Rattus norvegicus: one gene and its partners. The protein of the gene in region 1 interacts with the protein of each later gene in a biochemical or structural test. Links are inferred from orthologs where the notes say so. Each region holds a gene or a part of one and is shown on either strand. Other genes may lie near its edges.

What was found.
Region 2: the proteins of Erbb3 (region 1) and Nck2 form a complex in vitro, tested with the Homo sapiens proteins (2 studies listed by BioGRID and IntAct, with this or other methods). The link is inferred for Rattus norvegicus from reciprocal best matches to the Homo sapiens genes ERBB3 and NCK2.
Region 3: the proteins of Erbb3 (region 1) and Tns2 form a complex in vitro, tested with the Homo sapiens proteins (2 studies listed by BioGRID and IntAct, with this or other methods). The link is inferred for Rattus norvegicus from reciprocal best matches to the Homo sapiens genes ERBB3 and TNS2.
Region 4: the proteins of Erbb3 (region 1) and Abl2 form a complex in vitro, tested with the Homo sapiens proteins (2 studies listed by BioGRID and IntAct, with this or other methods). The link is inferred for Rattus norvegicus from reciprocal best matches to the Homo sapiens genes ERBB3 and ABL2.
Region 5: the proteins of Erbb3 (region 1) and Sh2b3 form a complex in vitro, tested with the Homo sapiens proteins (2 studies listed by BioGRID and IntAct, with this or other methods). The link is inferred for Rattus norvegicus from reciprocal best matches to the Homo sapiens genes ERBB3 and SH2B3.
Region 6: the proteins of Erbb3 (region 1) and Nrg1 form a complex in vitro, tested with the Homo sapiens proteins (8 studies listed by BioGRID and IntAct, with this or other methods). The link is inferred for Rattus norvegicus from reciprocal best matches to the Homo sapiens genes ERBB3 and NRG1.
Region 7: the proteins of Erbb3 (region 1) and Hck form a complex in vitro, tested with the Homo sapiens proteins (2 studies listed by BioGRID and IntAct, with this or other methods). The link is inferred for Rattus norvegicus from reciprocal best matches to the Homo sapiens genes ERBB3 and HCK.

Annotation. Positions count from the first base shown.
Region 1 is NC_086025.1:1,578,579-1,580,979, reverse strand, and holds the end of Erbb3 (receptor tyrosine-protein kinase erbB-3), read left to right. Parts: coding exon 1-163; 3' UTR 164-1,901; downstream 1,902-2,401. UniProt on the Homo sapiens protein: Tyrosine-protein kinase that plays an essential role as cell surface receptor for neuregulins.
Region 2 is NC_086027.1:53,205,567-53,209,778, forward strand, and holds the start of Nck2 (cytoplasmic protein NCK2), read left to right. Parts: upstream 1-1,412; 5' UTR 1,413-1,499; intron 1,500-4,212. UniProt on the Homo sapiens protein: Adapter protein which associates with tyrosine-phosphorylated growth factor receptors or their cellular substrates. Maintains low levels of EIF2S1 phosphorylation by promoting its dephosphorylation by PP1.
Region 3 is NC_086025.1:135,122,559-135,124,781, forward strand, and holds part of Tns2 (tensin-2), read left to right. Parts: coding exon 1-332; intron 333-434; coding exon 435-524; intron 525-815; coding exon 816-941; intron 942-1,149; coding exon 1,150-1,242; intron 1,243-1,359; coding exon 1,360-1,437; intron 1,438-1,525; coding exon 1,526-1,603; intron 1,604-2,041; coding exon 2,042-2,210; intron 2,211-2,223. UniProt on the Homo sapiens protein: Tyrosine-protein phosphatase which regulates cell motility, proliferation and muscle-response to insulin. Phosphatase activity is mediated by binding to phosphatidylinositol-3,4,5-triphosphate (PtdIns(3,4,5)P3) via the SH2 domain.
Region 4 is NC_086031.1:71,310,949-71,314,448, forward strand, and holds part of Abl2 (tyrosine-protein kinase ABL2), read left to right. Parts: intron 1-668; coding exon 669-842; intron 843-1,237; coding exon 1,238-2,961; 3' UTR 2,962-3,500. UniProt on the Homo sapiens protein: Non-receptor tyrosine-protein kinase that plays an ABL1-overlapping role in key processes linked to cell growth and survival such as cytoskeleton remodeling in response to extracellular stimuli, cell motility and adhesion and receptor endocytosis.
Region 5 is NC_086030.1:40,409,656-40,412,245, reverse strand, and holds part of Sh2b3 (SH2B adapter protein 3), read right to left. Parts: intron 2,026-2,590; exon of another isoform or gene 2,003-2,025; intron 1,673-2,002; coding exon 1,571-1,672; intron 1,493-1,570; coding exon 1,401-1,492; intron 1,326-1,400; coding exon 1,231-1,325; intron 1,151-1,230; coding exon 936-1,150; intron 859-935; coding exon 687-858; intron 576-686; coding exon 253-575; 3' UTR 1-252. UniProt on the Homo sapiens protein: Links T-cell receptor activation signal to phospholipase C-gamma-1, GRB2 and phosphatidylinositol 3-kinase.
Region 6 is NC_086034.1:66,811,276-66,815,441, forward strand, and holds the start of Nrg1 (pro-neuregulin-1, membrane-bound isoform), read left to right. Parts: upstream 1-1,366; 5' UTR 1,367-1,763; coding exon 1,764-1,863; intron 1,864-4,166. UniProt on the Homo sapiens protein: Direct ligand for ERBB3 and ERBB4 tyrosine kinase receptors. Concomitantly recruits ERBB1 and ERBB2 coreceptors, resulting in ligand-stimulated tyrosine phosphorylation and activation of the ERBB receptors.
Region 7 is NC_086021.1:162,030,518-162,034,632, forward strand, and holds the start of Hck (tyrosine-protein kinase HCK), read left to right. Parts: upstream 1-1,315; 5' UTR 1,316-1,513; coding exon 1,514-1,575; intron 1,576-4,115. UniProt on the Homo sapiens protein: Non-receptor tyrosine-protein kinase found in hematopoietic cells that transmits signals from cell surface receptors and plays an important role in the regulation of innate immune responses, including neutrophil, monocyte, macrophage and mast cell functions, phagocytosis, cell survival and proliferation, cell adhesion and migration.

The DNA of each region.
Region 1 (2,401 bases):
CGAGGAGATGCGAGCTTTCCAGGGGCCTGGACATCACGCCCCCCATGTTCGTTATGCCCGCCTCAAAACTCTGCGTAGTTTAGAAGCCACCGACTCTGCCTTCGACAACCCCGATTACTGGCACAGCAGGCTTTTCCCCAAGGCTAATGCCCAGAGAACGTAAACTTCTGCTCCGTGACGCTCTGCGGGCGTGTGGCGGCAGCTAGTGCCTCTTCGAGGGTACCCCTTCCTCATCCCTCTCTCTGAGGTCCCACCTCCATTTCTCCAGTCCTGTACAATGCCATCCAGTTCCTAGAGACTTGTCAACATATCCCCGCAAACTTTGCGGTACGTAGCCCTGTGTGTCTCCTCTCCCAACCCCGTTCCTCCGCTTCCTCAGGGACTCTCCCTGGAGATATGAAGGATTGCTCTCTGGACCCTTTTGCTCAGGTTCTTACTCATGGGGATTAGACTCTTAAACGTCGCCTTTCCTCCCCATCAGACTCTGAAGAAGGGAAATAGAGGAAAGTACACATTTTATGAGACTTTTAATCCCAGGGGAAGATTTAGAAGCTTAAAGCTTTGAGGAATTAAAGTTAAGAGTAGATACCAGTAACTATGAACTGAACATTTACTGTGAGTCAGGCACCTTCATGCTGAACTCTGCCTACAGTGTCTCAATTATAATCTTTCCAGTTTTGTGAGATAGAACTGATCCCACGTTTCACCAATACAGACTCTTTTTGAGTGTTCCAAGATAGCCAGTAGGCCCCTGAATCTGTGAATAATATTGAATCCTGTGGTTTGTTTTTTTTTAACATTTTAGTTGGTGTACAAAACTAAGTTCTGTGTTTAGTAACTTTTCCATCTTAAATAAGAACTTATCGTTCTTTTTAGTTTGAGGTGCCACAGCAGAGGTTGTACTAATTTTTCTATTTTTCTAATTTAATGTATTTTTATTATAGACATTACCATATGATCCCCTCCCCCATGTGAAGTCAAGAACTTCCACCTTTTCTCAAAGAAAACGCTTCTCTTTGACATGTCTGAGTTGGCATGACTACTCCTGCACTTTGGGCCTGTTTTTAGATAAAATGGGTCTTTGAACACAAGTAGTATGGTATTGCTGTCACTCGATCTAATAAGCAGGTGGGTAATTGAGTACAGAGCAAGTAGGTTATTCAGTGTGGGCGCACTAGGCAGAGGGATGATTCATCTACCAAGTGGGACAGGAAAGGGTGGCTGTGACTTCATCGTGCTACTCAGAATGGTGTACGATGTAAACTGTAGGGATTATTTATTTCAGGAACTTATCATTCAGCATTTTCAGATTGCAGTTGATCACAGGTCACTAAGACTCTGGACAGACAGCAGAACCTCAGAAAATGGGGGACTGAGCCTTGAAGAAATAAAGCAACAGGTCCAGGATTCAAAATCTTCCCATTTCTCATACCTGTGCTTGTACTATAAAGTGTTGTGTAAAGCTGGGTCTCACTCTGTCAACTGGCCTGAAACCATGTAGCCCAGGATGGCCTAGGACTCCACACACAGCAACCCTAGCTTCACCTTTTGAAGGCTGTGGCTACCAGTCACATTTCTTTATGCACTGAATCAAGCAAATGCTACCAGCCACTTTTCCTCCAGCACCCAGGCCTCTCATCTCAGGAAGGAGTGGAGACTAGATAGAAGGACAAGTAACCAGACATGTTTGTGTAAGCCGCAGGCCATACATGTTGCAGATACATACTCCTTACAAGCCAATTCGCAAAGGTTCCAAGACTTGTATTTTAGGAGCTGTTCTCAACCAGTAATGAGATGGGATAGAAAGAGGATCCACCTTCAGACCTCAGTCTTCCTGGATGGGAACTGGGGGGAAAATGCTTCTTGTACCATTAAAGTTTTTTTTTTATACTGTCTAAAAATGTCAACTTTTTTGATTGTTTTTGTGTACTCCTGTGAAGTGAAAAATGCATGAGGCCGTTCCTTTTCTTGGCTTCTTAGCAATGGATGGCTTTCTCTGCTTCTGACACTCTGTAACAAGTAATGTTCCAAGGCTTTTATTTGTTATGTTTTTATTTTTATTTTTTAAAGATTTATTTATTTATTGTATACAAGTACACTGTAGCTGTCTTCAGACACACCGGAAGAGGGCATCAGATCTCATTACAGATGTTGTGAGCCACCATGTGGTTGCTGGGATTTGAACTCAGGACCTCTGAAAGAGCAGTCAGTGCTCTTAACCACTGAGCCATCTCTCCAGCCCCATTTGTTATGTTTTTAAGATTTTAATTATGTGTATGTGAGAGAGTGGGGGTTTGGGAATGGTGTTACGTTCACGGAGTGCAGTGCCCAAGGAAACCAACACAGTGCTAGAGTTACAGTCATGTAACTTGTGCTTGTGCATGGGTGCTGGGAACTCCCT
Region 2 (4,212 bases), on another chromosome or scaffold:
AAACTATTGATTAGAGCTCTGCTTTCATTGTTGCAAAGCTAGATAGTAACAAGATGAGGTCTGCATCAAAGGATGAAGTTAGCGTCTCTGACTGGAAGAGACTGTTGGGTATGCTAATTTTGTATCTGATTCCTCCCAATGCCCTAGTATCGGCTACATGCCAGCTACTTTACATAGAGGGCAGGTAAACATCTCATGTGTTAAAGCTGAGGAAGTTGTGAAAGACTTATGTAAGGTGACACAGTTCAGGTAGCCTACAGTCAAAGGCTGCTATGACGATGGTGCCAAGCTTCCTCAGATTACTTATGCCTGGGAACTTCCTTTAGGGAGGGAGGCAGCTGCCTGGTCACTTAAGGTGTATTGCTGCTGCCTTCCTTAATAAGGAGGAGCCAAGAGATAGGGTAGAATCTCATTAACATAAACGTGAGTTGTCCAACCGGAAAACTGAATTCATTTGAATATCAGTGTTTCCTTTGGGGAATCATGAGTGAAGGAGCTTGGAGAAGGAACATCTGGATTCTGGTGTGTAAGGTATATGTGTTCCTTCCCCTCGCTCTAGGGTTCTAGCTTTCCAAGTTTGCTTACAGGTTAGCTATTACTCAAGGCTGGGAGAGAGAGACTTCCTTCTAAAGCTTTCTCAGCCTCCTGTACTAAAGAATTCCGGGGCTTTAAGAAGCTGGCCAGGGCGCTGCGGAGGCAGCAGAGGTCGGGTTTCCTCTCCTCCCCCCCCCCACTAGGAAGTGGTCCCGCCTGGGGGGCCGGGGGTGGGGTGGAGTAAAAAAGTGTCTGGATGGGAAAGTAAATAAATGCAAGGCAAATAAATAAAGAAAATGCCCACAAGCAATTACTGGGAGGAAGTGACATTTTCACGTAAGTCACTTTTCTGACAGACACCAGGCCTGTTTGGCTGAGAGTGCCGTGGGAATGCTTGGGGGGAGGCGGGGTAGGGAGATCGCTGTAAGAATCCAAGGCACAGCCGGGGTGCGGAGACCACCGGGTCTCGTGTGCTGGAAGTGGCCCTTCATTCTCCCTTGCAGCCCCTCCCGTGTGCCCCCAACTCCAATTTAGAACGGGTTACGGCTTGAAGCCCGCAGGCGGCGCTTTCCCTAGGCCTGGCCGGGACTCCCAGGTGGGTACCCCGCCCCGCGTGCGCCGGGATGGGCCGGCCCCTGGGCGGCGTCACGGCAGCCGGGGAGGAGCGCGGGCGGGGAGCGCGCGGAGGCGGGCGCTGCGCGGGAGGGTCGCCGCCGCAGATCGCAGGCCGGTGCGCGCGGCCGAGCGGGCGGCGGCGGCGGCGACAGTGGTGGTGGGGTGGGCTCGGCGGCGGGCAGGCTCGGGGCTCCCGGGCCGGCAGGGTCCGCCGGGTCCAATTGCGTCCGCTTGGTGGCGGGAGGAGGGAGCGGTGCAGACAAAGAGCGGCATCTGGGCGGGCGCAGCGCGGCCGCCGCCCCGGGACTAGCGCTGCTGCCCTCCGGCCTCGGCGTGCACTGTGCAGCGAGGTAAGGCGATGGCGGGGGCTGCAAACTTGGGCCGGTCGGTAGAGTTGGAAGAGAGGGGTGGGCGGGCCGGGGCCGCCCTGGGAGGGCCAGGGAGCGCGTACCCCTGCGCACCCGGCTAGTGCCCTCGGCCCCGGCGCGGCCTGCCGTCCCCGGGCACCCGCACCTCGGATACACACCTTCCTGCGAGCCCTCGCCTCCCTCAGCCTCGGGCTGGCGTGGGGGTGGGGCGCCCTCCGCGGGCAGACAACGGGGACCAAGGACCGAAAGCCCTCGGGAACACAAGCAACCCTGGCCTGCCGGCGGGCGTGGGACCGAACCTTGGTCGAGTCGCCGGGCGCGCGTGCCTGGGAAGAATAGCCTAGGATCCGAGGGCTACAGCGCTAGGAAGCGGGAGGCTGCGATGGCCGGGGAGAACTTACTGTACTTCGTGATCCGGCACAAAGCTGCTGTCACGTTCTCTAAAGGAGGTCTTTGCCTCGGCTCAGGGCGCTTTTGTGCCTGGTTCCAGTCCCTGCGCCCGGTCCCGCATTTCCAAGACTTAAACCTCTTGAACCAAAGTTTTTCCCAGTTGTTCTGCCCCCTTAGTTTATTCAGGGCGATTTAAGCAAGTGGTTCTGCAAGAATTTGATGTGTGACTTTTAATGTCCCGATGGCACCTCCCTTTTGAGCACTTTTAGCTTGGCATTGTGTGAAGGGGTTTGATTTGGAAAACACTTATTTATACACAACAACGATTCTCCCGGAAGGTGTGCGCGGGTGGTGGCTAATGGATAGCAGACGTGACTTAACAGTAGTATTGTGAACAGCTTGGGAACACAGCTGGGCGCCAAGTGGAATGGGCCCTGTCACCGTAGCCCATTCAGGTCGGCAGCTTCCTCCGTATTTGACTTTCCTTATTTTGCTAACAGGTTTAAGGCCGGTCTTGCCAACTTTGCATCTGTGTGTGTGGTGAACAGGTCCGAGTTTGGGCTGGAGGTGCACAGGCCGCCTCCTTGGTTGACCCAAAAAGAAACAGCCCATTGACCAGTGGGCGTGGCTTGCTGGTACCCTCCCTTGGAGACTTCTCTGCTCCTCACCCACTGAAGGCTTTTCTGCTGGGATTTTGAAGAGGAATGAGAATAATTTTGGGTGTGTTTCAAGCCTGGGTTTTTTGGTATAGTTAGCAACAGTGGTTTTCCAGTCTAAAGGTCACTACTTTATCAGAACATCTGAACTGCGCTGTGGGCACTCCCTCCATTCACTTTCCAAGTTTATAGATACAGACTTAGAAACAGGACTTTCGTGCTTGTGCCTGGTTTATGTAGTGAAGGCAGCCAATGGACACATGGAGAAGGTGCACTTTAGACAGTTAAGGTTTTAGACCTTCGGGTCTTTCCTAAGTGACCACAAGGGACAATCCCGCCTTAAACTTTCTCACCTCCTGGTAGGTTCCTGTAGTTTTGACTGAAGAAAGTAAAGGTCGAAGTGATCTGAAGCTGAATTGAGAACTTTGTGCAGCTGTAAAGTTTTGAGTTACAGCTTACTGCCTGTCTTGCTCTCAGCTTCTGAAATGTGCTTGAACAGAGTCCCGTTTTTCAGGATTGGAAGTTGCTATGAGAGCTCTGGCCACTTGATAGGTGATTTGCCCACTTGTGGAGAAACTGACCTCATAAAAATGGGTAGAGCTTATAAAAGGTGGTTTCCAGCTCCTGGTCGTCTGTTTTCAGTCCTTTTCCAGGCTTTCAGTTTTGCTTTTCCCAGCAGTCCTTGCTTCCGTCTCCATCCTCCTTTTCTCTTTGACCCTGTCATATTCCTGACCTCTGTCATGTACGTTGGGGTACTGAACATTCCCGACAAACAGCAATGCCCAGGTGTTTGAGAAAATGTGCTTTGATCCTTGTTAAATCTCCCCAGCTCTTTCCAATGTTGGAGCAGACTGGACCCCTTGAAAACAGCCATGAGACTCACTGATTGCGTAGCGACCTGGAGGTCTTTATTTGATCACTTGCATTAGCTTAATTTGCCCTGGCAAGACCAGACTTGGTTGCTCTGTAGGGCACATATGCTTCTAAGTGACTGGCTTGCAGTGTGCACTGGGGCTGACATGACTTGTGGAAATGATTTTCTGATGTTCAGAATGAGCCTTAATGACTGAAGAATTCAAGACTGCTTGTCCCACGTGCGGAACAGTGCAGTGAACAGTGTTGGGAGAAGCTCATAAGCTAACTCTTCTTTACAAAAGAACTGGGAAGCTTCCACTAGAGACTTAGGAAATGAGTTTTCCCATCCAGAGGGACTTCAAATGTTGCTTCAGAATTATTTCTCCTTCCTAAAAATGAGTGATGGAAACACTTCTCAGGGTGTTTTCAAAGGGCATAAGTGAAAAAAAAAAAAGACAACATTTGTGCTGTTATGTGTAAGTTAGGTGGCTCAGAGGAGGTCAAAGCAGTCTTTTAAAACAAGCTATCAGAGGTATGCAGCCCTGGTGAAAATAATTCATTTCTTTAGGCCATCAGAATAGTGCAATTTTTAAAAAAGACTTTTTTTATTTTTCAACAATTCACTTTGGACAAATCACAGAGAACGTGATGGTAGAGTCTTTTTAGGGAACCATACCCACATTCCCACCCCTCCTCCCACTTTCTTCTGAAGTAGACTTCCTGAGATTCTCAGTGCTCCAGGCCATGAAAAATACTCTTTAGGTCGACATAGCAGTGCCACACTAGGGTTACGG
Region 3 (2,223 bases), about 130 Mb from region 1:
TCCTCGGAGCCCTGTGCCAACCACCCTGCCCGGACTCCGCCATGCCCCATGGCAGGGCCCTCAGGGCCCCTCAGATAGCCCAGATGGCTCCCCTCTTACTCCTGTGCCTACCCAGATGCCCTGGCTTGTGGGCAGCCCAGAACCACCTCAGAGCTCACCCACCCCTGCGTTTCCCCTGGCTACCTCCTACGAGACCAACGGTCCCACTCAGCCTCCACTTCCTGAAAAACGACACCTGCCGGGGTCTGGGCAGCAGTCATCGCCACCAGCCAGAGGCACCAATCAGCATGTCACCTTTGCATCTCCTCTCCCAGATGTCACCCAACCCCCAGGTATAAGGCTCTAGGAGGACCAGGTGTCCTTTAAAGAATCTCACTGTCCAGAGAGAGACCATGGGAAGCCCTGGTGTCTGAATCAGTGCCTCCCTCTTCTAGAGCACCCTTTACAAGAGAACCAAAGCAGTGTCAAGTTTGTCCAGGATACATCAAAGTTCTGGTACAAGCCTCACCTTTCCCGAGACCAAGGTAAGAAGCCAGAAAACATCATGTGCCCATCCCAGTCCACTTCCCAGGCCCGTCTTGGCTGTAAGTCTGTCATCCTGGTAGGGCTTTCGGTTCCTTCTGTCTCTGCTCTTGGCTGGGTTACTCCCCAAAAGAGATTCTAAATTTGGGCCTCAGACTAAATATTATTCAAAGTCCTATGACCCAAGGCCCCAGACTCCCGCAGCCCCCCACGGCTGTCAGAGTGAGAAACTTGGGAACCTGCTAGTGGGACTGTCTGAGGCTGACAGCCATCTCTAAACTTCTGCCCTGCAGCCATTGCCCTGCTGAAAGACAAGGATCCTGGGGCCTTCCTGATCAGAGACAGTCACTCTTTCCAGGGAGCCTATGGGTTAGCCCTCAAAGTGGCCACACCCCCACCCAGCGCCCAGCCATGGAAAGGTACAGAGCTCTCAAGCTGAAGGTGCAGATGTGGAGAGGGGAGAATTTGCAGGACTGGGATAGTGGGAGTGAGGAGGTGCACAGCACATCTCCATGTGGGGAAGGGTTGAGGCAAGCCTGCAGCTGCTTGGGAAAGAGTCCTGTGGGGAGAAACTGAGATCCTGGAGTCCCATAAAGCTTTACTTTTACAACCCCTCATTCCTCTCAGGGGACCCCTCAGAACAGCTGGTCCGCCATTTCCTCATTGAGACTGGACCCAAAGGTGTGAAGATCAAGGGTTGTCCCACTGAGCCCTATTTTGGTGAGAACCAAGAGTCTGAGGGGGTTCCAGGGTGGATGGTTAAAGGAGAGACCTAAAGAAAGGAAGAGAAAGCTCTGACTGTGGACCCCTATGATGTTTCCCCCCAACCCCTCACAGGAAGCCTGTCTGCCCTGGTCTCACAGCACTCCATTTCTCCCATCTCCCTGCCCTGCTGTCTGCGAATTCCTAGTAAAGGTGAGTGATCCGTCTCCTCCACCTTACTTCAGGGTGGCTTGGAGAGCCTCTCCCTCTTGACGTTCCTTGGTGGCCTTCATCTCCTCAGATCCTCTGGAAGAAACCTCAGAGGCCCCAGTGCCCACCAACATGAGCACGGCAGCAGACCTCCTACGCCAGGGAGCAGGTAGATCCTTGCTTTCCCCTTCCTCTCCCTGGTAGTTAAGAGGATACCATGGACTCCAGGTACAGGGAGGGGCACTGAAAGGGGTATGGGTGGCAGACCCAGCAGGTATATTTAACCTGCAAAGGCAGAGGAGCCCCGTGTTTTCAGGAGGTGAGGAAGGGGGTCACTGACCAAGTTCTCAGGGTTTACAATACAGGAATCACAGCGGCAACAGGCAAGAACTTAAAGTGTGTCTCCTCAGTCCTCCCCCCAGTGTTACTGGCTGTAGCTCCCTTGGAGTCTGGAAGTTGCCATTCTAATTTGTCAGTGTGTGATTCCAGTGCATTCAGGCAGCACTGGTCAGGGAAGTGCCCAATATGGTGGGATAAGAAGCTAATGGGTGACAGATCCAGGTCCTGGCAAAAGCATGTAGCTCATTAACCTACCTCCTCTCTTTAGCCTGCAGTGTGCTCTACCTGACCTCGGTGGAGACAGAGTCATTGACTGGCCCTCAAGCTGTGGCCAGGGCCAGCTCTGCAGCTCTGAGCTGCAGCCCTGTCCCAGTGCCAGCCATTGTCCACTTCAAGGTCTCAGCTCAAGGCATCACACTGACAGACAACCAGAGAAAGTAAGCGTGGGCA
Region 4 (3,500 bases), on another chromosome or scaffold:
GTCCCTGAGTCACAGAACAAGTATCATATTTATAATAGCTCAAACTGGGAACATCCTATGTAAACACCGAGAGGAGGACAAATGAATTTTGGTAGTCTCACACATCAGAATATTTCATGGCAACGAGAAAGGGATCCTGCCACATGCAATGAAAAGTAAACCTGCAGGAATAATAGTTATTATTATAGTTAGTGAAGTGTTTGAATTCAGATCCCCAGCCACCAAGTGTGAAGCCAGGCGTGGCAGCACATACCTGTGTGTGGGAGCTGGAAGTAGGAGCTCTCTGCTGAAGCTGAGCTCCAGGCTGGCGAGGGACCCTTTTCTAAAGGGTAAGGTGAAGAGCTGTTGGGGAAGAGGCCCGGCATCAGCCTCTCCCTCCATGGGTGAGGTCACACATAAGACTTCATACGCTCATTTCATTTCTATGCTTTGTATAATTTTGTTGTAATTTTCAAGATGACATTTTGCTAAGGCTGGTCTCCTATTTCTGTGCTGAAGAGATCCCCCAGCCTCAGCCTTCTGAGCAGCTGGGACTATAGCGCAGCCTGTACACCCATCTGCTTTTACGAACTTCAGTATTCAGCTCTCTGCTTTTCTTTTTTCAATTATATGCCTTGGTCTCTGTCTTAGAATTCTTTTCTTTTTACCAGACTTTGTCTTTTTCACAGAGGTAGCTGAGGAGCTTGGGAGAACTGCCTCCTCCTCATCTGTAGTTCCATACCTGCCTCGACTGCCACTACTTCCTTCCAAGACAAGGACCCTGAAGAAGCAGGGGGAGAACAAAGAGAACCTAGATGGGGGCCTTGATGCCTCCGAGATCCTGGCCTCCAGCTCAGCACCAGGTAGGAGGGGGCAGAGCAGAAAGGGTAACCCTTGAAGAACAAAGGACCACAATGCTACTTGGCCTTGGGTCTGCATTGCCAGTGTGGGCAGTTTTATCCAGTCCTATGCAGTCTGCTACCAGATCTGTTTGTTTAGTTCCTGGCTCCTAGGTAGCTACCCAGATGGGTGATGGTGTACACCTATCTTCTATAGAAGGGACAAATACAGAAGAGACCAGCAGGTACTACTGAGGCACTAATGTACAAATCACGGCTGGAACACTAGTCACTGAGTCAGTGACTTATTTGTGAACTTCCTGAGTAGTGCCAACATCTGACATTCAAGAAATGCAGACGGAACTTTCTAAGGTAGTCACACTAACTGGCTTTTCTGTTACTAATTGGCCATTTCTCAGCAGGGTTCATTAGAAGCACCCAGGCCTCCAGTGGGTCCCCAGCTCTGCCTCGAAAGCAAAGAGATAAGTCACCCAGCAGCCTCTTAGAAGATGCCAAAGAGACATGCTTCACCAGGGACAGGAAGGGAGGCTTCTTCAGCTCCTTCATGAAAAAAAGAAATGCCCCCATGCCCCCTAAGCGCAGCAGCTCTTTTCGAGAAATGGAGAATCAGCCCCACAAGAAATATGAACTCACGGGTAACTTCTCACCTGTTGCTTCTCTGCAGCATGCTGATGGGTTCTCTTTCACTCCCGGCCAGCAAGAGTCGAATCTGGTGCCAGCCAAGTGCTATGGGGGGAGCTTTGCACAGAGGAACCTCTGTGGTGATGATGACAGTGGTGGGGGTGGGGGTAGTGGCACTGCTGCGGGTGGGTGGTCTGGTATCACAGGCTTCTTTACACCTCGCTTAATCAAAAAGACACTGGGCTTGCGAGCAGGTAAACCGACAGCCAGTGATGACACTTCCAAGCCTTTTCCAAGGTCAAACTCTACATCTTCCATGTCCTCAGGGCTCCCCGAGCAGGATAGGATGGCAATGACCCTTCCCAGGAACTGCCAGAGGTCCAAACTCCAGCTGGAAAGGACAGTGTCCACCTCTTCTCAACCAGAAGAGAATGTGGACAGGGCTAATGACATGCTTCCAAAAAAATCAGAGGAAGGTGCTGCTCCAGCCAGGGAGAGACCAAAAGCCAAACTATTGCCCAGAGGAGCCACGGCTCTTGCCCTGAGAGCCCCTGATCCAGCCATCACTGAGAGTGACTGTCCAGGGGTAGGGGTGGCTGGAGTGGCAGCTGCCCCCAAAGGCAAGGAGAGGAATGGTGGGACGCGGCTTGGAGTCGCTGGAGTCCCAGAGGACGCAGAGCAGCCAGGCTGGTCTTCTCCAGCCAAGGCTGTAGCTGTCCTCCCAACCACTCACAACCACAAAGTGCCAGTCCTTATCTCACCCACTCTGAAACACACTGCAGCTGATGTGCAGCTCATTGGCACAGACTCTCAGGGGAACAAATTCAAGCTCTTATCTGAGCATCAGGTCACATCCTCTGGAGACAAGGACCGACCCCGACGGGTAAAACCAAAGTGTGCCCCACCCCCGCCACCAGTGATGAGACTACTGCAGCATCCGTCCACATGCTCAGACCCCGAGGAAGAGCCAACTGCCCCCCCTGCAGGACAGCACACTCCAGACACCCAGGACGGAGGAAAAAAGGCAGCTCCAGGGCCAGTGCCCAGTAGTGGGAAACCTGGGAGGCCAGTGATGCCTCCACCTCAAGTGCCTTTGCCCACATCTTCCATCTCGCCAGCCAAAATGGCCAATGGCACAGCAGGTACTAAGGTGGCCCTGAGGAAAACCAAACAGGCAGCTGAGAAAATCTCAGCTGACAAAATCAGCAAAGCGGCCCTGCTGGAGTGTGCCGGCCTACTGTCCAGTGCAATCACAGAACCTGTGCCCCATAGCCAGCTGGTGGACACTGGGCACCAGCTACTCCACTACTGCTCAGGGTATGTGGACTGCATCCCCCACACTCGCAACAAATTTGCCTTCCGAGAGGCTGTGAGCAAACTGGAACTTAGCTTACAGGAGCTGCAGGTGTCTTCCACAGCTGCTGGTGTGCCTGGGACAAACCCTGTCCTTAATAACTTATTGTCATGTGTACAGGAAATTAGTGATGTGGTGCAGAGGTAGCCATTGTCAGCCTAGTGGGGAAATGCACATTCTGAGGGGAGAGGGAAAGGGACTTGTTTTCCTGTGTTCTCGTTCTCAAACAGTGAAAGACTGATACTTGAGTGTGTTTATGTGAAGTACCTCAGACCCCTGAGTTCTCACGTTTACAGGTTCATCTCAGAACAGCAAAAAGGAAATCACATAAATAGATAAAGTGAATGTGGTGGGGCAGGGCAGTGTGGACACAGTTGGAAACTGCACTGGAAAATAAGCGAGCATCATGCATACATCATAAAAGTGCAGCCCTCCCTCTCTGGAATGGCCTGTGGCCTCCATTGGGCTGCTCTCAGTTGTGCTGCATCATGAAACAGGCCTTGACCTGGCAGGTCCTGGGGGTTATCACGTTTCAGTTCACCCTGCAAATCTGGGGAACAGGAGAGAGCAAGTGAGGGATGTAGCAGGCGCCGTTTTATTCAAGGCTAAAGAAGTGTCTGTTGGTCTTGCTTCCACGGACATTGCTGTTATAGCAAGAACTGCAAATTAGATTACCAGAGTACTCA
Region 5 (2,590 bases), on another chromosome or scaffold:
TGTCAGTTTCCACTGCCAGCTCTGGGCCTGCAGCCCCGCCTCCTCTGGGTTGGGAACGAGGCCTTGGGTGCCAGCTAGTGGCACCTGTGCACAAGAACTACATCTACAGACAGTGGGAAGAAGCCAGGGCTAGCTGTGGCTGACAGGAAGCCTGTGACAGCCTTGTGTGTGGTGGAAGCAGGGCACATCTGAGCTGGGGAAGGCTGACAGCAGCAGCCTGTAGTTCTCTGGAGGGAAGGAAAATGGTTACATTCACAAGTTTGCCTCTCTGCACAGCTGTGAGAGAGGGGTGTACTGGTTGTCAATGGCCCGAAGGTGGCTCCGTGAGGAGGAGTCCATTTCATAGTCTGAGTCCCGGGCACTGCTCACAGACTCAAGCTCCAGCTGCCGCAGACTGTTGGCCAGTTCCTCAGGAGAAGGCACCAGGTGGAAGATCTGCTCAGGAGGTGTCACTTGGCCACGGAGAGCCTCTGCACCATGGCCAGGGGGACAGCCAGCAGAGCTGAGGTGGGGATGGCCCAGCTCTGAGTCCCAGTGAGGAAGGGAAAAGGGGAAGAGAACGGTGTTGGAGGAACCTGGAGAGATAACATGGATGACTCCATGAAGAAGGCGTAACCAGGAAGGAAGTTTTGTACGTGCTGTACTTGCTGTGACACCACCCCTTGACACAACTTTGGGCTTCCTACCTGGTGCCTGAGAGACGACTACCACATAGCCAGAGAGTCGGACATCACAGGCTGCTCCACATTCAAGTGGGATGGGGGAGCGCTGGAAGTGGCGGAGCATATCCACCACCGAGGGGAAGTGCAGGTGTTGCACCCGGCACTGTCCACGCTCTGTGAGCACCAGGCGGAGGTGCTGTGGGAAGGGGTAGAGATCAGCCTGCTGCCCAGGCTGCATCTGCCCCACCCTGGTCCCCCAGTTCCTGCCCCTACCTTGGCTCTGCCCTGTAAGTTGAATGTGAGTACATATTCCCCTCTCCGGGACTCACTCTGCCGCACCAGGAACACACCGTGGGCATCAGGGCCCTGCAGCTGAACCAGCTGTGCAGCCCTCACCCTGGAGATGGGGCCGTGGAACCAGGGGTAGCAGGACAGGAAGTGATCTGTTTTCTGGCAGGCTGGGTCCAACATCACCCCAGGTGAAGCACCTGGCAGAAAGATGGTGGTGGTGACCCGCAGAGGGGCCACATGTCCAAGGACACCCAGAGACCAAGGATCTGGCACATACCTTGGTCCAGGGAGTCCGTGCTTCCCCTTGGGGATATAGCTGGGCCAGGCTCTGCCACTAAGGAAAGAGGTAACTCTGTGTCCAGGTGCTCCAACCTGTAGGGGAAGAGGCTGGTGAGAAGGGGGCCAGCAGGGGTTATCAAAGGGAACCAGGGATGGGCAGGTCCTCACCCTAGGCCTGTGCTTGCCCTGAGTTCTGCCAGCCATGAGTTCAGCTGCTGTTCATCTCCCACCTCAAAGATGATGTCTGTCTGGCCCTGCACCTGCAGAAAGGAGGCATATAGCTCTGCACCTGAGGAGACAGCAGTGTCTCCCCAAGGAGCCACAGCCCTGGCGCTCACCTTCAACACAAAGGTGTAGAGGTTGTCCGGCATCTCCAGGCGTGTGCAGGGTCGGACCTCCTGGATGCTGGAGCAGGCCTCTTGGAGCTTGGGCTTTGAGCTCTAGGAGAGCAAGAGGATCATTCAAGGCTTCCCCCCGCCCCCTCAGGCCTCTCAGGTAGTCTCTCTAGAGGAAGGAGGCACAGAACATCCTTCTCTTACAACTTCCCACCTATGGGAACAGGGCTCAGCAAGCTGCAAGAGTCACATATACCACAGCTTGGAGGTGCCACCTTTCTGGGTTTGGTGAGTTCCACAAATGCCAGTTCTCAGGGTCAGAGTTCTGGGGGGGGGGGGGGAGCCACCCTTTCCCTGCCCTCTGGTCCTTTTTTCTTGTGATAAGATTGTCCTTGCACGGGGGCTGGGGATTTAGCTCAGTGGTAGAGCGCTTACCTAGGAAGCGCAAGGCCCTGGGTTCGGTCCCCCAGCTCCGGAAAAAAAGAACCAAAAAAAAAAAAAAAAAAAAAGATTGTCCTAGCTGGCTGAGCAGGCTGAGGACCAGCTTCAGCAGAGGCTGAGATAATTAACTGGCAGAGCCAGAGAAGTAGGAAGGACAGGCCTTTCTCCTCCCTCCGTGGCTTTTGTCCCAGGTTAGAAGACTACTACCAGGTGCATCAGAGCCCAGCTTTAACTCTGCTCTCTGCAGAGTCCACTCCCATGCCACTGGCTTTGGTCAACCGCCTGCTAACAGAAGTGAAGGGGGACCTGCTGGAAATTGGCCAAGTGGATAAGACATGACCCCCACTCCTGTCTACAACTGCTGTGTGCTGGCCAGCATCCAGACTCTTCTCAACTCCCTATGCAAGCCTTAAAAGGATCAGAGTCGCAGCGCCTGTCCTGAGCTACCCGCTAGAATGCCTGACCCTGCACTAGGCTGGGGACAGGGTGCCTAAGCACTGCCTATGGTCCATCTGCTCGGACTTCTGAGGGAATGCAGGTTGTGGGAGGATCTAGCCAGAACCCTAAGTACATTTGGAGGCC
Region 6 (4,166 bases), on another chromosome or scaffold:
AAATGATTCTTAAGACGATTTAAGTGAACACCTTGCCCACTTCCCTTCCCACCCATGTGTGAAAGGTGTACTCTGGATTTCACCTTTCTTTAGATCATGGCAGCCAGAGAACACAGAGAAAGCTGTAGACAGCAATGGGTCTGTTAGTGTTAACTCCAGGAAGTCAAAAGGAAGGAGCCAAATCACCCTGAAAGTGGGATAGCTGTAGAGTATTGATCGTTGGTGTGAGCTGTTTCTCAACCACAACTCTATACCACTGTAAATGAGCAGGCTAAGTTGGCCACAAGTGTGTGTGTTGATGACAGTGTCTCTACACGGAGACCAATGTGAATCACTTCTTGGTGCGGACTACTCTGGCCTCTGACTCCTCCTCAGAGTTCTCTACCTGGATACAGGAAAACTAGAATTCACTAGCAGTTCTCAGAAAGTCTAATAGGGGTGTGTGTGTGTGTGTGTGTGGCATTAATGAACTAAAGATCTGGACTACACAGTTCATTGTTCTACGGTCCCAACTCACTCCCTCACTCGAGGATCTGACCCTACCGACACACCTTAGACTCGTTACTGTCGATGGTGAATTATGGCTCATTAGTTCTTTTGGAAATTAAGTTGTAGAAAGAGATATCTGTGCTTAGGAAGAAGCTAGAGTGAGTATTTAAAATGGAGATGGGAAATCCAATAGTCATGCTATTAGGCACAGGAAGGCAGACACGTGCTCAAGTGGCTGATGGTACATCAGTGCAAACTGTTCATGCTTGAAGTTCACAGAACCCTTCCTCAGTACCTCAAACTCCGTTCCACCCCAGACTGCACCTTCGCCCTTAGTGCCAGAGAGAAACTTCCCTAAAACAGAGAGAAATGAACTCTGAACCCTTCTGGGAAATAGCAATTGTTCCTCCCCCTCCCTGGGATTCCAGGTCTCCAGAGCAATCATTGTGGAGCAGGTGCTACAGTTACAAACTTTTCTCCATCTTCCACCCTTCACTTCCCCTACCACGCACTTTTCAAGGCTTGGATCAGCTCAGCAGCCTGCCAGGGACTGCTAGCACCAGCGTCCCTTCCAGGGCTCTCCAGACTGCTCCGTTCGGTCTGGCGGCGGCTGTGGCAGTGTCAGCGCAGCTTCCAGCGACCCCTGTCGGGAGTTCCCGGCAGCCGCTGGGCTCGGCCGCCCCCAGCTTGGCCGGGCTGCCAGAAGAAAGGGGCTGAGCCGCGATCGCCCAGCTCAGGCTCCTCCCGGTGGCGTGTCTGCGCCTCGGGGTGGGGGTGTGGTGGGGAAGAGGGAGGGGGCGAGGCGAGGGGAGGGTGCGAAGGAGGCGCCTGCGTCCAACCTGCGGGCAATTGAAAAAGAGCCGGCTAGGACTTCCCCAAAACTTGTGGGAACTCCGGACCGCGCGGGCAGCAGGAGCCGAGCGCAGCGCAGCGGCCGCAGCTGCCGGGAGATGCGAGCGCAGACCGGATTGTGATCACCTTTCCCTCTTCGGGCTGTAAGAGAGCGAGACAAGCCACCGAAGCGAGGCCACTCCAGAGCCGGCAGCGGAGGGACCCGGGACACTAGAGCAGCTCCGAGCCACTCCAGACTGAGCGGACGCTCCAGGTGATCGAGTCCACGCTGCTTCCTGCAGGCGACAGGCGACGCCTCCCGAGCAGCCCGGCCACTGGCTCTTCCCCTCCTGGGACAAACTTTTCTGCAAGCCCTTGGACCAAACTTGTCGCGCGTCACCGTCACCCAACCGGGTCCGCGTAGAGCGCTCATCTTCGGCGAGATGTCTGAGCGCAAAGAAGGCAGAGGCAAGGGGAAGGGCAAGAAGAAGGACCGGGGATCCCGCGGGAAGCCCGGGCCCGCCGAGGGCGACCCGAGCCCAGGTGAGTGCCAGCCGCTCCGCTGCTCCCAGGCGGGCACCTACTCTGGTCCCGTGCGTCCCTGCTCAGCTCTCTTGGCGCCTGACCCGGTCCCCGAGCTGCGGTGCGGGGGCTGCCTCCACCTGGTGCCCGTGCGCTTCCCGCACCCCGAGCCTGCTGGTCATCCCTCCGGGGCCCTTGGGGTCGGCTGTGCGCCGCGCTCCCGGGCTCTGCCCTCGGTCCCCGCGTCAATCGCGGAGCCCAGCCCGGGAGTGGGGCTCCGATTGCGGGATCCCTACGGGCTGCGCGTGCCCTGCGGCCCGAGGACTTTGAGCGGGCCGGGTCTGCCCTCTAGCGAGAGAAGCGGGAACCGGCTCTGGGTTCGAGAGCCTGCGCCCCTCCGCCTGGGCCCGGGCTGCGCGGAGGGTGGTCGGGGAAAGGGTGGTGTGGGCGCCCGGGCGTCCGCGAGGTGGGCGGAGGGAAGCGGTTGGACAGCCGCTGTGCGAGCCTAGGATCGCTCTGATTGCGTGCGGCGATAGAGAAAGCCAGAGCGGCTGAGAGGGATTCCTAAAGGTCAGCGAAGCACGCAGAACCTGACCCGGTGCCAAGATTCAGGTCCGCTCTGAATAAATTTGGCTTCAGCTGTTGAAGTTTTCAGGGTTGCCCTGATAAAAGATGGCTAGTTTAGTTTCCCAAGAGACGTCAGAAAGGAACAATTTACCCCAGGTTTTGAACCCCATTGCTTACCGATTATATATGGAATGAAAAAGGGGTGGGGGGAGTTAAGGTTTTTTTGTTACCAGATCTTTTTAATCCACCGTCGGAGCGCAATCTAAAGGCCACTGCCACCCTAGATATCTCAAGGGAAGGCTATTACATTGACTTGGTCAGAAGAGGTATAAAAGGTCGCCTGTGACCAAAACTTGTCAGAGTTATTAAATAGATGCTTAAGGGGTGGCGCCTGAGAGGGTCTTTACCGTCCCTCTGCAGTCCCCTACAGTGGATCTGGATGCCTTGTGACTCTTAGAGCATCCCCAACACACATTGTGAAGTACTTCAGGGAAATTAACAACACTTGTGCAGTCTGTGCCTAAAGGAGATAAGCAGAAATATCTGCTCCGTGCAGGAAGAAAACAAACCACATTTTCTTAGTGCGCTCCTTGGATTCGCTCAGCATTTCAGAACCTGGGTTGTTGGCAGGGACCCTAAGTAAGGTTTAGAACAAAACAGAAACCGAACAGAGAGTAATTGTTTAGCCACTGGCCCGCTTAAAAGGCGCTGCTGATCTGTTTCACCTTAATTACCCCGCGTGAGCCTTCCTGAAGGTAGACGGATGTTTTCCCAATATTTACTGTATATTTTGGAGATTAACTGCAACATTGTACTCAACAAAGTACGGAACAACAGGGATCTGGGTTAATGTCATCATAGTATGTTAAAGAGACCCAGAATCGTAAAGGTATAAAGAACTTTCTGTTTCACTTGTCACCACTTGTGGCTTTTATCAATGGTTTGCATGGGCTGGTTAGACCGGTGGTTCTCAACCTGTGGGTCGCAACCCTAGGGGGGTGCGAGCCAAAGGACCCTTTCTTTCTGAGGGAGATTCATAACAGTAGCAAAATTACAGTTACTACGTGGCAACGAAATAATTTTATGGTTTGAGGAACTGAATTAAAGGGTTCAAGCGTTAGGAAGGCCTGAGAGCTTAGTTGCTCTCCTGAATTGAGATGGGGTGGTGGCTTGACTAGGTAGCGACTCTTTCAGTAGCAAGCTTTATCTCTCAACTAGGGCGCTAAGTCCACAACATACCTCAGATGTTTTAGTGAAGGCAGTGGTTCAGGTGGGGAGAGGTTAGACGTCTCAGGGCTGTCTGCAGCCTTGACTCACCTGGTGGGCATCCGTCTCAGGGCTACCTAATGTTCTTAGGGAAGTCTAGAGTTTCTTCTCTGGCTCCCTTGTGTATCTGTAGCCCCACAGCTGTGACTCTAAACCAGACTCCATGATATATTCTTCCCCGTTTCCCAGAAACAAATTGGGATGATGTCTGTGGGCTAGATTTTAGTTTGTTTCCTATCATGATATGATTGGGGGTAGAAGGGGTGAATGGAGAGACACTTTGCTCCCTCCAGAGAACTTTTTTTAACCCCCTTTAGGATTCTGTCAATAGATCAAACCAGATTAAGAGCATTTATTCTTTTGGTTTGCAAACGGTCACCTTGAAATTTGCGTTACGTAGAAATTCAGGGCATTAGATTGTCTTGCTTTGGATATCACTGTTTCTGCCTTTGCCTTGTCACGCTTCCTTCTAATGGTAAGTCCCAGTCTGA
Region 7 (4,115 bases), on another chromosome or scaffold:
AGTGGGTGGGACTCAGAATGTTGCTAACACAGGGTGGTACTCAGAAGAATTCATGCCCAATACACACTACAGCTAAACGCGTGCCTACACGCATGCGTAAATGAATGGGCGACACTGGTGGTCTAGCCCGGCTAGAGGAGGACCCCTGTACGTTTCCGCAGGTGTGTATCGGGCGTTCAGAGTGTTGGTTCCTGTCAGATGTTCTCTACCCTCTTGTCCCAGGCTGAGAGGAATGCCATGCAAACAAGGCCTCAGTGGTCTGCGGGTCAGACTTCCTCTCCTTCAACTTGGGAGGTCCTCTGAGCAGTCCCATATTCTGCCCAGAGAATAAGACAGAGAGCTCCTGCAGGCGCCAAACTTTGCATGGAGTTTGAATAAGCGGCGGGTGGGCAGATGGAGGGAAAACCGCTGCGTGTGGGAGGGACCAGAGGGCCTTGGAGACCCACCAGAATCCTGGAGGGCGTGGTTAGACTTAAAGGGAGCTACATTCCTTCTGTGGCTGGTTTAGAATCTTTGAAGTGAAGGGCAGAATCCGTTGACCGCTCAAGTGCAGGATTTGGGATTTATGGGATTAGGATCCCGTAGGCGGGAGTGGACGTAGTACAAACTATGGGGAGCGAGGCCCTGGATTCCATCCTCTGGAAAACACACACACACACACACACACACACACACACACGCCCTCGAGATTATAAATCTAGAGAACAGGGGTTAGGACTGGGAGCTGAATAGAATAGAGGTTAAAAATTCTTCGCCAGGAGGAGGCGGGTAAAGATGCCTGCTGCCGAGCATGGCTCCCTGAACTAATTCCTGGGGACTGGCAAGATGGAAGGGGGGAACCCTAGTCTCCAAATTGTCCTCTAACCTTTACACGGCACAGAAGCTCGAGGGTAGTTATACACATACGCATACACGTAATCAATCAACCAATCAATCAATAAATGTAAAATATTACAATTCTTTAGAGGCCGCAAGGGTATGGGGTCTCTTGAGTAGGAGGTCAAAAATCCCTGGGGGCGTAGGGTTTAGACTCCTTTGCACCAGAACATTCCATCAGGTGGGGCTTAAATGCGTTAGTGGGGGTGGGGGGACTGGGAATCTTTGGAGGACCAGTCAAACATTGGAGTCTAAGTCAGTCCTTCAGGGACTGGTTAGCGCCCTTGAGGACAGGGTTAGCATAAAGATGCTAATTTCTTTGGAGTGGGTTAAGAGCGGGAAACCAGAGAGCCAGAGTGAGAGTTAGACTCTTAGAGGGCGGAGTCAGGGCATTTTTGGGGCGGGGTTTACATCATCCAGGGTGCGGCTAAGGCGCCCAGATGGCCAGTGAGCACCACCGGGTTGCCGCTCCCCGCTTGCACTTTACGGTTGCGGCTCTCAGACGGGTGGGAGGGAACCAAAGTCGCCGGTAAAGGCGGCTCTGACCCGCTCGGAGCGCCAACGCAGCCTCCGTAGCCCGCAAGTCTTCGTCGCTTGCTCCGGGCTCTCGAGTCCGGGGCCACCAGGGGCCGCGGCGCTGGGGGGTCGTTCGAGCTGCGAGGATCCGGGCTGCCCGCGAGGCGAAGGGCGGGTGCCCAGGTGAGTGCGAGGAGGAGGCGAGGGCGGGAATGGGACCCCGATAACGTGCAGACCTCCGGGGCAAGGAGTTGGGATCCTGGGTGAGCTGTGGGGGTGGCGAGGAAAAAAGGATCGTCCTAGGGGCAACCGATCGGTGGTGGGATGCGCCATTCACAGAAGGTGGAGAGTGCCCAGGTGGCCAGGTGAGGCGAATTGCTGCCACCCAGGGCGACCCTGGGATAGCTCTAGATAGAGGAAGCTCAGGCAGGGGGATGACAGTGCTGAGCTGAAGCTTCTCTGCTCGACCAGGTTCCCCTTCTGCGCACACACACACACACACACACACACACACACACCCCAAGAAGAAGAAGCTGGAGGGGAGGGAAAAGCCCGGTCGGTTCCCATTAGTGGTGGGTGGGTGGCAGGTCACGCAGGGTAGGCAGCGGGCAGGGCTGAAGGAGCAGCTGGGCCAAGACAAGCCCATGCCTGCCACACCCAGGCCTGGCTGCAGCTGTACGTCTGAGTCCCCTCTTTTACATCTTCCCCTGCCCTCCTGGCTGACCCCCTAACAGGTGTACACCCAACTCCAGAACCCCTTACACAAGGGCCACAGTCTACCACCATCTCCTCTTTGTGACCCTGGGGCACGTCGCTGGTTACTCTCTGGATCCCAGCTTCCTCCTCTGTAAAATGGGCTGTTTTCTTCTGAAGCTGAGTTGTTCAGAGAGGGCGAGCAGGTCTGCTGGGCATTGGACAGGCAGTCTGGCTTTTCCGTGCCTGTTTTTATAGTTGCAGGATGGGGATGGTAAACTACTCCAGATCAAAGGTGTTTAGGATTTTGGAGTGTGGCAGAATTCTGTATCTTAAGTGCACAGTGAGGCATCTTGGGGATAAAATCTAAGTTTTAAAAAGATATTTGTGTTTGATTCATATGCTTCTGGGTGGGCGCACAGGTTGGCGTGTACTCTGGTGTACTCATGGTGGGCACATGAAGGCCAGAGGACTCTGTGTTGTTCTTCAAGTAAAGTCCACCTTGCTTTTGGAGACAGGGTCTCTCATTGGCCTGGGGCTTTTGCTGAGTAGGTGAGGCTAGCTGGTTAGTGGGTTCCAAGGGTTCGCCCGTCTCCTTCCTAACACTGAGAGCTGAGCAAAACTCCCAGCTGGCTTCTTTTCATGAGTTCTGGGGTTGTAACTCAGTTCCCACTTTTTGCAAGGTACTCACTTTACCAACTGGGCTATCTTCCCGGCCCCATGATTTTTACATTTCATTCTCATCCCTTGGAGATAACTAGGGGCACATTTTTAATGACTCCTCCATTTTTAATTCAACCCGTAGCCACTTGGATCATCCTGTCGGTGCCCAAAATGTTTCAGGTTTTAGAGCATCTCGGATTTAGGCTTGGGAATTCACTTTGAAAGATGAAATAAGAACGGAAGGAAAGGGAGCCCAAGGGGTGGCTCTGCAGCTCAGAGCACTCGCTGTCCCTTCAGAGGACTCTAGCTAAGTTCTCACCCATCAATCACAGCAATGCCTCGAACCTGCCTATACCTCGAGCTCCAGGGAATCCATTGCCCTCTTTTGGCTCTGTAGGCACCTGCACACATGTGGTCTGTCTCTGTCTCTGTCTCTCTCTCACACACATTAAATCTGAGAGAGGGGGGTGGAGAAGAGAGAAAGATAGCTGAAGGAAATCTCTCGGAGCACTCTGAAGTGTACTTTCCCCTGTTCCCGTTCAGCCTAAGAGATTCTCATACCAGCATCACCAAGAAAGCATGTCAAAATGCCCATTGCTAGGGCAACCCCGAGAGGGAGGCCAGGGGGTCAAGATACTGAGGACTGGCAATCTCCAGGCTGTTGATGCTGCCCAGAAATCCGACTTTGTGAATCACTGCCCAAGCCTAGGGCTAGCCTAGAGAGGCCTCACAAAAGAGCAGTGGCTCTCTAGTGCCCTTCTCAACCATGCCCCTTCTCTGGAGGAGGAAGCCTGCTGTTTAAAGGAATATATGTCCCGGGAACCTACCACCCAGAATTAACTAATGTCGGTGTGTGGGTATGTTTGCTTCAGACTTTAAAAAGTGAAATGGTGGGTTGGGGATTTAGCTCAGTGGTAGAGCACTTGCCTAGGAAGCACAAGGCCCTGGGTTTGGTCCCCAGCTCCAAAAAAAAAAAGAACAACAACAAAAAAAAAAAAAGTGAAATGGCTAAGTGTGCTGGGTAAAAAAAAGTCCCTGCTTTGGATCCCCTCAGTTCTTTTTCCCCCTCTACAGGAGACCCCACTGTCAAAAGCCGATCCTTCCTCTCTGTGCCTCAATAAACAATACACAAATGCGTCCTCTGAGCTGTAAAGATTACAGCAGAGCCCAGTGCAGAAGCACACCTGCAACTCCAGAACTTGGGCGTAGAGGCAGGGGGAGCAGAAATTTAAGGTCATCTTTGGCTATAGCAAGAGTTTGAGGCCAGCCTAGGCTATAAGACCCTGTCTGTAAAAAAAAAAATAAAAAATAAAAAAAAATAGAACAATCTATATCTGTTCACTTTGGTCAACAAGGGTTGCTTCCCA